Danio rerio: one gene and its partners. The protein of the gene in region 2 purifies or fractionates together with the protein of the main gene of each other region. This does not show direct contact. Links are inferred from orthologs where the notes say so. Each region holds a gene or a part of one and is shown on either strand. Other genes may lie near its edges. The genes, in order: chchd6a, mtx2 and immt.

Region 1 (4,679 bases), on a different chromosome or scaffold from region 2:
TTAAACAGCGGTTTTGGTGGCCAGCTATGGCACGGGACATACGCGAGTTTGTTTTGGCCTGTTCTGTTTGTGCTGTTTCTAAGACTTCTAATCGCCCCCCTGCTGGACTCCTTCAGCCGCTGTCAGTGCCTTCGAGACCCTGGTCGCACATTTCGCTAGATTTCGTCACTGGTCTCCCGCCATCTGGTGGCAATACGGCTGTTTTGACCGTTGTGGACCGGTTCTCGAAGGCTACTCATTTCATTCCTCTGCCCAAATTACCCTCAGCCAGAGAGACAGCGGATGCTGTCATTAATCACGTCTTTCGCATTCATGGCCTCCCGACGGACGTGGTTTCTGACAGGGGACCCCAGTTTGTCTCTAAATTTTGGAGAGAATTCTGTCATTTATTGGGAGCGACTGTAAGCCTTTCTTCTGGTTTCCATCCTCAGAGTAATGGACAAACAGAGAGGGCCAATCAAGATCTCGAGCGTATGTTACGTTGTTTGGTTTCCCAAAATCCCGCCTCTTGGAGTCAGCAGCTCCCATGGGTGGAGTACGCACACAATTCATTACCAGTGTCGGCTACGGGCCTCTCTCCGTTTCAGTGTAGTTTAGGATACCAGCCACCAGCTTTTCCCAGTCTGGAATCCGAAATCGCGGTCTCCTCTGCCCACGCCTTTGTCCAGAGGTGCCGACGCACTTGGAGCAGAGCCAGACAGACCCTCCTCCAAGTGGGTGCGCGCACCAAGGCTAAAGCCGATCGCCACCGGTCGAAGCCTCCCGTTTACGTCGTTGGTCAAAAAGTGTGGCTTTCAACTAAGAATATTCCCTTGCGTTCCGTATGTAATAAACTTGCACCTAAATTTATTGGCCCATTCACTGTCATCAAGATCATTAGTCCGGTGGCAGTCTGCCTCAAACTTCCTCCAGCGTACAGGAGAATACATCCCGTGTTTCATGTTTCCAAATTAAAGCCCGTTTTTCATACGGCCATTAACCCGCCCACTCCGGTTCCCCCCCCCGCCGCGTCTCGTAGATGGGGAGACTGTTTATTCGGTTAAGCGCATTCTGGACTCGAGACGGAGGGGACGAGGATTTCAGTACTTGGTGGACTGGGAAGGTTATGGTGCGGAGGAGAGGAGTTGGGTTCCTGCAAAGGACATATTGGATCACTCTCTTATCGATGATTACAATCGCCAAGTAAGCTCTTCTGGAAGCACCAGGAGGTGCTCGTAGGAGAGGAGGTAATGTCACGGTTGCAGGTTTGTGCGCTTCTCCGGAGTGTATGTTGATCACGTGGGTTTGTTTTGTTTTGGTTGTCCATGTGGATTTGTTAGGCTCACGTGTTATGACGTCATTCAGTTGGTCTGATTAGTTCGCCAGCTGAGGCTCATCATGGTGCCTATATCTGGGCGACGCTTTTGTGTGTCTGTGTCAGTTCGTTGTTATCACTCATGTTTGTGTGTCTGTGCTCAGGCCCTGCGGAGTAATCTGGATCTGGTTTTCCCCGTTCTGTTTCCTGCCCTGCGTCCTGCGTCCGTCTAGCCTGACACTATTTGTATTTGTCTTCACAATAAACTTGTACACTTGCTATTGGATCTTCTCTGACTCTCACTGAAACGTAACAGAAATAACGCAACATAAACAACAGAGGTTGAGAAAAAGGTTACTTTTCAATGGAGATTTCCGACGGCACTTAGAGGTTTTTGACTTGGTTAAGTGTTTTATGTTATTTTAAAAATCTTTTATTGCAATTCCAACATGAATGTACTTTACAAATAGACTTAAAGATTAAAACCATTTGAATGTCTGTGAATAATGAGGAACTTTATATTTTTAATTAGCTGCATATTTAATGTTTTAAACGTAGTAATGTGTTAGTAATGCGTGTAACTATATTTTAAACATAATATTTGAATGTGACATTTTCATATTGTTGTCTTATAGCTGCGTTTATTAGAAATAAAAACTTGTTGTGATAGCTTTCTAAATGTACAGTATGTTTTTAGGATAATAATGTTTGAAAATAATAATTGTTTATGTAGAAAAAGGTATTACAAAAGTTTCATTTCTAATAAGTCCGTACATAAGACAACAATACGAAGCAAAACTCATATATTACATTTCATGTTTTAAAGTAATTTATTATCTTTTTTTTTTGCAATTCTAACAAAAATATACTTTACAAATAGATTTTGTGATACAAAAAGTTGCTGTACTAAAGAAAGAAAAAACTAAATGCAAGATGAAATATAATCCAAATCCAACAGGAGAGATGATACACAATAAAGCATATTAATAGCGAATATTAAACGTGGTACAATTTATAGATAGATTTTAATCATTTCCTTGTAGATAAGTAAATTGTTTAAATAGAAGTTCAGTTTATGTTTATATAACTAGGACCACAATAGTGATCTGATTTTGTAATTAATGAATGTTTGTATGGAGAAACAAATAGATTAAAAACATTTTGCCATTTAATTGGATCAATAATCATAAATTGGATTATTAATTCAACCAATTTGCTTGAAAACCATCTCAACATTCTTAAAATTCTTTATTAAAGTTTGTAAATCTTCAGCAATACTGCACAAATAACCTGTAAAACTTCATAAATGATACATGACAAAAAGGAAGATGCATTTTTTTTCACTATATCCATGATTGTTTATCTGTCTGTCGACAAATCATAACATTAATGCTTTAAAATATGTGTTAATTAATTTAGCATATGTACAGTTGAAGTCAGAATTATTAAACCCCCTGAATTATTAGCCCCACCTGTTTATTTTTTCCCCAGTTTCTGTTTAACGCAGGGCAGATTTCTAAACATAATAGTTTTAATATCTCATTTTAAATAACTGATTTATTTTATCTTTGCCTTGATGACAGTAAATAATATTTGACTAGATATTTTTCAAGACACTTCTATACAGCTTAAAGTGACATTTAAAGGCTTAACTAGGTTAATTAGGTTAACTAGACAGGTTAAGGTAATTAGAGAAGATATTGTATAATGATGGTTTGTTCTGTAGACTATCAAAACTATATAGCTTAAAGGGACTAATAGAATAGACATTAGAATAGTTTTTAACAAATTAATAACTGCTTTTATTCTAGCCGAAATAAAACAAATAAGACTTTCTCCAGAAGAATAAATGTTATCAGACATACTGTGAAACTTTCCTTGCTCTGTTAAACATCATTTGGGAAATATTTAAAAAAGAAAAAAAGTTCAAAGGGGGCTAATAATTCTGACTTCAACTGTATATTTATCAGTCACTTTCTACATTTGTGTACTCAGCTGTCTGAAGACGTCTTACAACGCATGAGGAACACCAACGCTGATCCAAGACCACCTGCCAACAATAAAGAAAACCAAGGTATGACATTATTATCGCCTCTCCATCCATAATTGTTTGCTGCTCATATTCACTCTGAACTATTAGACAAGATTTTTAGAATGAAAAAAACTTTCACCAGGTCACATTTTAAGCTAAATCAAATATTCAATTGAAAATTATAATTATCTTTTAGTATACAGTTTTTGTGAATGTTTTTATTTATTTCTATTGATATATTTGTATATCATCTCTTATTGAAATGTAAGTTGTTCTTATCATGTAATGTTTTTATATATTGATCTTGCCATGAAATGGCCATAAGTTGCTGATGTGGCAATAAACAAACATATTCACTTTTTCCCTTATGATATGTAAAATCATTAGTTTGTAATGCAAGTTAATAATTTTTTACATTTAATTTAATCCTGCAGGCCATCAAACTCGAACACCCAGCACATCAGACGCACAAGCTCCAAAAACACAGGCCAAAACGACGTTTCCCGACTCTAAAGAGGAGCTCAAAAAGAGGTACTTCAGTACAGATGTCTAAATCTAAATATTAAACAAAGTTTAATTATTGATACATAATCGGATTTAAATAATATGATAAAATGCAATCATATTACAAATGTGATATTGAAATTCATAACATTAGTATTAAAAAGTAAGTTTACATTAAGGAATACATCTAAATATTATATATACACGTCACCTTAAATGTATTTATTTATTTTTTATTTTGTTGATAACTGACCAACAAAAAATACTTAAAAAGAAAAAAAAAAAAACTAATTATACCAAATTCAATTTGTTACAAAAGAGCATTTTTCCCAACAAAATGAGGCTATATGAAGTGCTAAAAATTGTTTCAATGTTTCCTGTTGCTATTTTGGGGTTTTCATCTATTTTATTTTAGTCTTATCAGGCAACAATCCAAAGTAATCTAAAATTTCACTTTGTGAGTCGTTATTCTAAAGAGATTGTTGCTGTTGTTGTAGCTACTAAATCATATTAACAGGAACAGAAATGAACTGATTCAGATGCGCGTTCAAACTGAAGCGTTCAAAAACGTGCTATAGACTACCATAAAAGGCACTATTTCTACATATAGTTTTGCCACGTTAAAGGGCTCCACAAACTATTAAAATAAAGTCTGTTGTTGCACAAACATGTGAGCATTTTAGTGATTTTTATACATGCAACATCTATTGTAGATAAACCATTAATGATGATACTACCGTTTGTGGCACAGTTTTTTTTAGCCGTAGTGTCACGATACTACCATAGTACTGGTATACTGTGCAACCCTAGTAGGTGTGAAACTGACATTTTCAACCAATTAATTTTTCA
Region 2 (4,044 bases):
GAAGGGCATCCGCTGTGTAAAACATATGCTGGATAAGTTGGTGGTTCATTCCAATGTGGCGAGCCCTGATTAATAAAGAGACTAAGCCGAAAAGAAAATTAATGAATGGATTAAAATTTAGAACCTAAATGTTGTGTTCAATCTTTTAAACACGATAATGATCGAAAATGGATTAATTTAAATAACAAAATAAATTATGGAGTTAATTTAATCCAGTCTCATCAAACAGAGCATATTCACTTTAATATAGGTAATAAATGAGTAAATAATGTGTGTAATCTTGCATTTCATTTGAATGTAGCACATGTATTAATTTAGTTGTGCCTGATTTTTTTGTACATAAAGTAAAGTTTCAATTAAAAATATTCTTTCTGGTAAACTGAAAAAAAGCTAATTAATAGCAAATTTTTGTTTTTATATATATTGCATACATTTTTCTATAGTGTCTGGCTTTTATATGAAGAATAGTGTGTTTGTGTGTTTGTGTGTGTGTGTGTGTGTGTGTGTGTGTGTGTGTGTGTGTGTGTGTGTGTGTGTGTGTGTGTGTGTGTGAGAGAGACCTTTGTGCACTTACCTTGATATGTCTGAGAAAATTAAAATAAGCACCTCAGCTCTCAGAGCATAGTAACCACACTAAGTGTATTCATACACACACACGCACACACGCACGCACACACACACACACACACACACACACTATAATTTGCTCTTACACTTCATAAAAATCCATATAAAAGCCAGAAACTTTTTTTTCACAGGCCTATCTAAAACATGTGTTACCTCTTCTCAACAGGGAAAATCAACAACAATCAAGAATGCATAGTGTCAAGGCTTTACAATCAAAAAATGTTGTTATAATGGAAGTCAATGGGGCAAAAACAGCCTCCAACATAACAGAAAGGTAGTCAGTTTGAACAATACACAAGGGGTAACTATCCCCTTAATGCATCCTTGTTCAATCAAACTATAAATTTAAAATAAAACATTTGAATATTACTTATATGTGCTCGAAACATACTGTTTGTTGAAAAAGTAGGGCTGTGTTCCTAATCGCTGTGACAAGGCCTGACAACACTGGCTCACATCTTCATACACCTAAAATCAAGAAAGGAAAAAAAGATTTAGGAAAAAAGGAAAACGCACAAACTGCGAGTGAATGACTTGCACTTCATTTGTGTTTCAAATACCTGCTCCAGGCTCTTTCCAGACCATCCAATGGCGTTCATCTTCCTGCGCACCTCCCACTGCTTCTGATAGGCCAGAATGTGATTGAGGGGCCAAGAGTAGGGGCTGCTGTATCGAGGCCTGGAGATCTGAACATAATACATACCATATTAACAATACTAAAGAGATCACACTGCAAAAATTGCTTCGATTTTATCTGGTTTCTAGTCCAGACGTCTTTAAAATTCTTAAATCAAGAAGCTTTTTATCAACAAATAAAAAAAAATATTGTCATGCTTTAAGAAATTATATGCATTAAAACAATAAACCATTTTAATATACGAGAAAAACAAGCTAAATAATCTGCCAGTGGGGTAAGAAAAATGATATGTGGACTAGAAAAAGGATAAAAAATCGTTTTTTTGCAGTGTAATTTTATTATTTTGACCAAGACATGCATTATACTTGTTTTGTGGACATTCTTGTACATGAATCATGAATCATACCTCTGTAGCAGTAAAGTCGTCACACCACTGGATGTATAACTACAAAGAAGAGGCAAAGATTCATTGGGCTGCACTGTTTACCGCAGTGAAACTGTTTTCCCATAAAATGGTTATGGGAAAGATAAAATACATAGAAATGAGAAAAGGTGTCATTGAAAAAGGTTCACAAGCTACATTTTTAAGCAGGCATTTATTTAAAACATTTATTAAATTATTAACAATTTATTTAAAACATTATATCAGAGCCTTTCATTGCATTTTTATGTAGTGCATATACGAGTACACCCCTCACAAATCTCTCATTTAAATTAATATTTTAAATAAGAAGCTTTATAATATTATATTCGTGCATATACATTAGATTAGTCAATACTGAAGCCAAATCTGAAGCTAATTAGAGTTGTTCAAAGCCTGGTGCTACAGCAAAGCATGCAGCATCCTGAAGGACTCATCGCATCCAGCGCACCCCTTATTTCAACTGTTACCTAGGGGGAGGCGGGACAGGAGCATAAAAGTCCAAACAAACAGACTGAAATAGTACATATCTCGGGGCTGTGAAAATAATGAACGGACATTAAATTTGATGGCTTTCTGGCCAACATTTTACATACTTTTTAACTTGAAAGCTGCTAAAAATCCACTTGCCACTTTCCATGCATGCAAGTATTATAATTATTGTTGTTGTCTTTATACTTCTTTTTTTATCTCTTCTTGTTATTATTGTTGTTGTTTTAGACCATTAGGAATGCACTGAAGGGATGGGCAAACGTAATTCTCGTTGTATTTTGTACTATGACAATAAAGATTCTGATTCTGATAAATCCAACAAAATAACTTGATGATAATGGTCCAAAATTAGTACACCCAAATGTATATGCTAGGGGAAAATATTAAATAATTTTAAAAGAGAAAAATTCAAGAGCAACAAAAGAATTATGAAATTTTGTAGTTTGCCATTTAAAAAAAAAAAATATATATATATATATATTGCATAATTTAAATGTATAGTCTTTCTAAACGTTTCTAAAAATGTTCAGTGATTAAACTATTATTTTAATTAATAAATCGATTTAATAAATCGGTTTTGTTCAAATGCATCAAAATATATGACCTATATTCACTAAGAAATAGATAAAATGTTCGTTTTGAAAATGGGGTGTACTCGTTTATGTTGAGCACTGTATATGATGGAATGTCTCTGACTGGCATGTTGTTAAAACAAGAGCTTTAATCAGATCAGATACACTCTTGCATTCACACACACATACACTAAGGCCAGTTTAGCTTCTTCAGTTCACCTATAGCGCATGTCTTTGGACTGTGGGAGAAACCGGAGCACCCGGAGGAAACCCACGCCAACACAGGGAGAACATGCAAACTCCATACAGAAACACCAACTGACCCAGCCAGGGCTTGAACCAGCGAAATTCTTACTGTGAGGCGACTGTGCTAACCACTAAGCCACCGTGTCACCTTCTTTTTTCTTTTCAACACAAAAGATATTTTAAATATGCAAAGTTAACTGTTGACATCCATAGTAGGAAAAACCAATACAAAAATATATTTTTTGTGTTCAACAGAAGAAAGAAACTCAAAAAAGTTTGAAACAAGTGGATTTTTTGGATGAACCATTTCCTTAAGTATCCACAAAAAAAAAATGAAAAGCACCAAAACAGCCTTCAGAATAGTTCAGCTTTGTGGTTGCGGAAATAAATATCATTTTAAAATAAATTCAAGCCAACTTTTTAACCAAATTGATGTTTGCAGCAGGTCTGTACCTCCGCGGTCAGAAGCATGTTATTGACCAACTCCATGTAAGCCTTCATCTCTGCCCTCTGGACATCATCCAGCCCGTCACTCAGAGAATGACCCTGTGGACAGCATAACGTCAGCCAACAGCCAAACATTCCCATATTCATATGAAGCTGAGGGATGCCGTTACCTTTGCCTTTGTGAACTGAACAATCGGCCCCAATTCGGACACGACCTGATTTCCAACTTGGATGAAAGGAACCTTCCCTAATGAAGGAAAATAAGAGACGATATAAAACATACAAGCTTTAACATTTAACCAGATAATAAAAGATCACTGTTTTTAATAAAATAAACAGATGGCCAAAAAGATACACGAAGTAAACGATACAAAAAAATTTTTTTTGTTAAAAGGAACAAAAAATCTTTTGCAAACAAGCATTGACACGATGCTCAATTAGTCCAAATGGGTCCAAAGTGTGCAGAGAAAATATCCCAGGCAATGTTTTTCCGATCATCTATTGTCCAATTTTGGTGAGCCTGTACAAATTGTAGTCCTAGTTCCCTGTTCTTAGCTGACAGGAGTGGCACCCGGTGTGGTCTTCTGCTGCTGTAGCCCATC
Region 3 (4,679 bases), on a different chromosome or scaffold from region 2:
CTCTGAGTGTGCTGCATTCATTCATGACAAAGACTTGGTTCAAACCAAACAGTGCGCTCTATTGTGTATGCGGTGCAACTTCATTAATATGCATGATAGCTTCGAAAAAGAAAGAAGAAGAAAACAAGTGGGAGAAGAAGAATTGTTACCCATATGAGAGATACGGGTCATCTGTGTTGCGTTTTTAAATGTCCTGCAACGAAGGTTTTGTTTTCATTTTCCCGCTATGAGAGCGCAGCTGGACTCGCATGTAGATTACACTGCACGCAACACGCGGCAGAAATACGTTTGTATGGAACATTTTTTACTCGAGAGCTTGGCTTTCCGCATTTGCTGCTTGTCTCCTTTTAAAAAAGACGCAGCTCCAGTTGGTGTTGATTCATCTGTCTTTTTATTTTTTATTTTTTTATTCAAATGGCAAAGTTAATTCGTATCGTCAGCAGTACTCTTTCAGTGTTTAAAGACAGACCTTAGTCAAAATCATTTCGAAGCTTACAGTACATTAATATCACTACAATATTATGGACTGAAAGATCTGCTGTAAATGCTGTTCTCTGTAAACATGTAAACATTAAAGACCGTCATGTTAATTTCGATGCATTTTGTGACAGGATAGTCTACACACAAACGGCTTTCTGACGACGTGCGGTATCAAACATTCAACAGTCATTAAACAAAGTCTCTGTCTTTCTCCTCTGCATCTGTGTGTTTCTTTTGCCTCAGTGAAAATCAGCGTGTGCGTAAATGAAAAATCCCATTTTTATTCAAATCCTTCCATCTTTCCCTGCCCCGTCACTCCCACCTATACCGCGCTAGACACACCCACTTTCCTGACTTTTTCCAAACTAGAGATGTGAAAACACGCTGTTGAAACGGGGGTTTCATGGCCCTTTAAAATCACTTTAATTCTTAAAGAAGACACAAATAATATGCATTCTGTAATTAGATTTAGCTATGCAACTATGTGAGCATATTATTATTATTATATAACTGATTTTAATGACAGAATCAATGATGTTGGCTAATTTCGTATTTTTATTGAATTAGGAGACTGTCAAACCACTGCAAATCTCTTCATTGTCAGAAGCAACTAAAGACTCCAAACAGCCTAAAGCTAAAGCCAAGAAGTCTGATCCAGCACCTCCACCTTCTGTAGAGGAAGCTCCAGCACCAGCGCCAGCACTTCAGTCACTGGAGGGTAAGTGGGACTTGTACCTTTCTCAAGGCTAATTTATACTTTTGCCCAGTGCCACGTCGCAAACCTCTTTTGAATGCGCACGCACCTCACGAAACGTACATGCCTTTTATACTTATATAGAAGCCCACCGTGAAGTCAGACAGATAAACAGAGAAGTAGAAAGTTTCCCGAACCACGTCATATCATTAACATAGTTCAACATTTTTAAATTTGTTAGTTTTATTATTTTTTATAATTTATGTTAATGATTATAAAGATTTTTAAAATCATTCAAGATTTTTTAAATCATTATTTGACACATCACTTGCTTTTGTTTATATCTCGGACAGTTCTACCTATTAAAGGTAAATATCAATGACAACAGAACATGGGTTGCTCTACAAATATATTTTTTGTTATGGCATAAATAAAGGCCAAAAAGAAGTACATTTACTAAAAAATACTGACATTTTTAATAGAATAAGTCCACTTCACAATTCACACATTATTGTTACTGTCTGGCTAGTTTGTGTCCTCTGCTTTTATACTAAAAAGGCAACACTGGTCCAATATTACCTTTTAATCATTAACTTCACTTTTGCCATGGTCTTTTTTGGCTGTAACAAATGTATCTCTCAGGTTTTTCCAAACTTTTCTCCTTTCTCATGGCTGTTGCAATTTCTAGCTAAGAATTATTGACCATTGGGTTATCCCTAATGATCATACAAGGACAGATCCTAAAGATGTCTGTACAGTCGTACCTGCTTTAGACAAATCTCTTCAAAGTGATTCATATTCAACCCAAATGAAATGTGGCGCTGCTTGAACTGTTCGCTCGAGTCTCAAAAAATTATGTCGCTCACACGCAAAGCGAAACTTTGCAAACACAGTGATGATGTCACATTTGCTGTGCGCAGTAGCGAACGCGTTGGTTATAAACCAGGCTTCAGAACTTTCAGATGTGCAGCAGTTACTCCCTAAAGGCCCTGGTATGCTTAAACAAAATCAATAAAAGTATTGAAATGGCATAATTTCGAACAAAATCAGGCCAAAACGATGTTCGATTTGAGTTTGATTCCGCAGTTCGAAACAGCTCACCAAAGCCAACTTTTTGGGGGTGTTTGTTCTGGCTCCTAAACATCTTTGAGCTAACATTGGTCTGTGATGATTATGCAATTGGTGGGTGTGTCTTGAAACTCCACCTACTTTGACATGCTTCATATTCACAGAGTTCAGAGTCAGACAGGAGAAAAACAGCTAACACAACAACGCTTAGGACCCTATCATACACACGCCGCAACAAGGCGCAAGATGTGTTTGGCGTGATTTGTTGCTGATGAATTCTTGCACGTGACTCTTGCAATTTTCAACTGGGTGCCTCTGGGAAATGCTCATGCGCTCCCAATTTTCTTGTGCGCAAGGACGCGATATGTATAACAGCCCCATAAGCAGGTACTCTTCTCTTTACATTCAGAATATAACTTTACTCTCAATGCTGCACACAAAAAAATAATTTTGCCTGTTTTGGCTTAGTTGGGCAACCATGTTTTTGGGTGCAGGTGTTCTCCTTGGTGACGAGTATTGTCATAGAATGATTTCTGTTCAAATGCTTGCACAAGTTGCTGATCGAGTTAAAAGCAGTCGAAAGTTATTTAGAGACTGGACATAGACTGCATTTTACAGCAATAATTTTTTTTAAGCTCAATAAAATCAAAGTAATGTCTGTATTTCCTCTTGAGGAAGCAGCCACTCTCAACAGCAACCATTTCAGCTCGTGTATAAGGAAAATATAGCATTATGGATTGTTCACATATTGCAAAAAATTGCTTTATACACAAGTAACATATTTAAATGTTGCTTTTTACACAAGTAAGTATTTTGGTCAACTAAGGGAAAATGAATTACACATATCAGGCCAATGGGAGTATAACTAGATATCTATGAATACAGTATGAGTCACATGACGAAATATATTCTGTCATTTGCAGTTTTCAGATGAAATTATAATTTTATGTGTATCCACATAGGATAGCGCCATTAAAAGCTTTAAAAATGTCCTTTGGGATTTCTTATGTATGTAAAATAATGCATATGTTTCTAATCCTGAGCTTGTCAGGATGCCATTATGTAAGGAATGAGTGTTTTATTTGGTTGGTATTCCTGGAAGCAGTGTGTGGCCATTTTGCATTAAGGCCTGGTTAGATCAAAATGAAACCGAAAGCACCCAGGCACTGAGAGTGCTTTGGATTCAAGATCATGTGTTGATATAAGTGTATACAATTACGATTATAATAAATGATGGTGTACTTTTAGTATTATAATAAGATGTTTCTGTGTATATCTGTAGTGTATATTTTGGTGTCACTTTGTTTTGCTTGCAACATGGACAGTTGTCTATTTCCTTGCAGAGACTTAACACAATATCTCACGTCTTATTGATCATGGATTTATTTTCTCCAAACAAGGATACAAATACAACAGTTCTTGGTCTTTATTGTAGTTTGTAAGACTGACAATAGTACTGATGCTATAGTTTATTTGTACACTGAAGTGTGTTTTTCATGTACAGTACGTGAGCATAATGGTTGAATTATGGCTGGGTGTATCCATCTTTGTCGTTTAATTATTTGTTTATGGAATGAGAGATTTATGGGAATAACCAAGTCAGAGGAACCAAAACAAAAAAACTAGCTGTGCACTCATACTCGTACTGTATAAGAGATTGGTAAACTCGGTCCTGGAGGGTCTGTGTCCTGCAAAGGTTTGCTCCAACACTAATCAAACACACCTGCACATGCTAATCAGTGTATTCAAGATAACTAGAAAGCTATAAGCAGGTGTGTTTGATTAGGGTTGGATCTAAACTCCACAGGACACCAGCACTCCAGGAACGAGTTTGCCCATCCCTGCTAGTAAATTTAATAATGAGTTTTAAATTAAAGGGTTAGTTCACCCAAAAATTCTGTAATTAATTACCCTCATGCTGTTCCAAACCCTTGAGACCTACGCTCATCCTCACAACAAAGACATTGTACATGAAATCCGAGAGCTTCCACATTCTCCACAGACTTAAACCTTGACATGACATGTTTAAACTCTAGAAAAGGATCAAAATGCATCATCAAAACATTTGACTTGATAAGAAACTATAAGTAGCTGTGTGACGATAACCGCATCACTGCATTACTGCCATAATGAGACCTTAACCGCAGTGATGTGGTTATTACCGTTGAAGTTGGATTACCAAACTAAAATACTAACTGATGCTTTTTAAAACCGACATGGGCTGTTTCTTCATAATTTTTTTTGTTCCGTCAAATGAATAAAGCAGGCCTAACTTAAATCAACCACTTCATGAAAAATGAGAATTTTTAATGCATCGCTCTTATTGCTATATCACAAAGCTCTATCAACATTTTTGATACAAGTCATTATTTTAAAGATTATGAACTGAGAATATGATTTTACCTCAGATTTTACCTTAATTTTTCCATCTCATTCG

The links.
Region 1: the proteins of mtx2 (region 2) and chchd6a purify together in Homo sapiens (co-immunoprecipitation; 3 studies listed by BioGRID and IntAct, counting the BioPlex papers as one, with this or other methods). This does not show direct contact. The link is inferred for Danio rerio from reciprocal best matches to the Homo sapiens genes MTX2 and CHCHD6.
Region 3: the proteins of mtx2 (region 2) and immt purify together in Homo sapiens (co-immunoprecipitation; 5 studies listed by BioGRID and IntAct, counting the BioPlex papers as one, with this or other methods). This does not show direct contact. The link is inferred for Danio rerio from reciprocal best matches to the Homo sapiens genes MTX2 and IMMT.

What each region holds. Positions count from the first base shown.
Region 1 is NC_133198.1:37,032,686-37,037,364, forward strand, and holds part of chchd6a (MICOS complex subunit mic25a), read left to right. Parts: intron 1-3,289; coding exon 3,290-3,368; intron 3,369-3,760; coding exon 3,761-3,857; intron 3,858-4,679. UniProt on the Homo sapiens protein: Component of the MICOS complex, a large protein complex of the mitochondrial inner membrane that plays crucial roles in the maintenance of crista junctions, inner membrane architecture, and formation of contact sites to the outer membrane.
Region 2 is NC_133181.1:11,832,893-11,836,936, reverse strand, and holds part of mtx2 (metaxin-2), read right to left. Parts: intron 3,690-4,044; coding exon 3,613-3,689; intron 3,542-3,612; coding exon 3,449-3,541; intron 1,710-3,448; coding exon 1,671-1,709; intron 1,314-1,670; coding exon 1,188-1,313; intron 1,096-1,187; coding exon 1,019-1,095; intron 1-1,018. UniProt on the Homo sapiens protein: Involved in transport of proteins into the mitochondrion.
Region 3 is NC_133189.1:18,393,544-18,398,222, forward strand, and holds part of immt (MICOS complex subunit MIC60), read left to right. Parts: intron 1-1,047; coding exon 1,048-1,198; intron 1,199-4,679. UniProt on the Homo sapiens protein: Component of the MICOS complex, a large protein complex of the mitochondrial inner membrane that plays crucial roles in the maintenance of crista junctions, inner membrane architecture, and formation of contact sites to the outer membrane.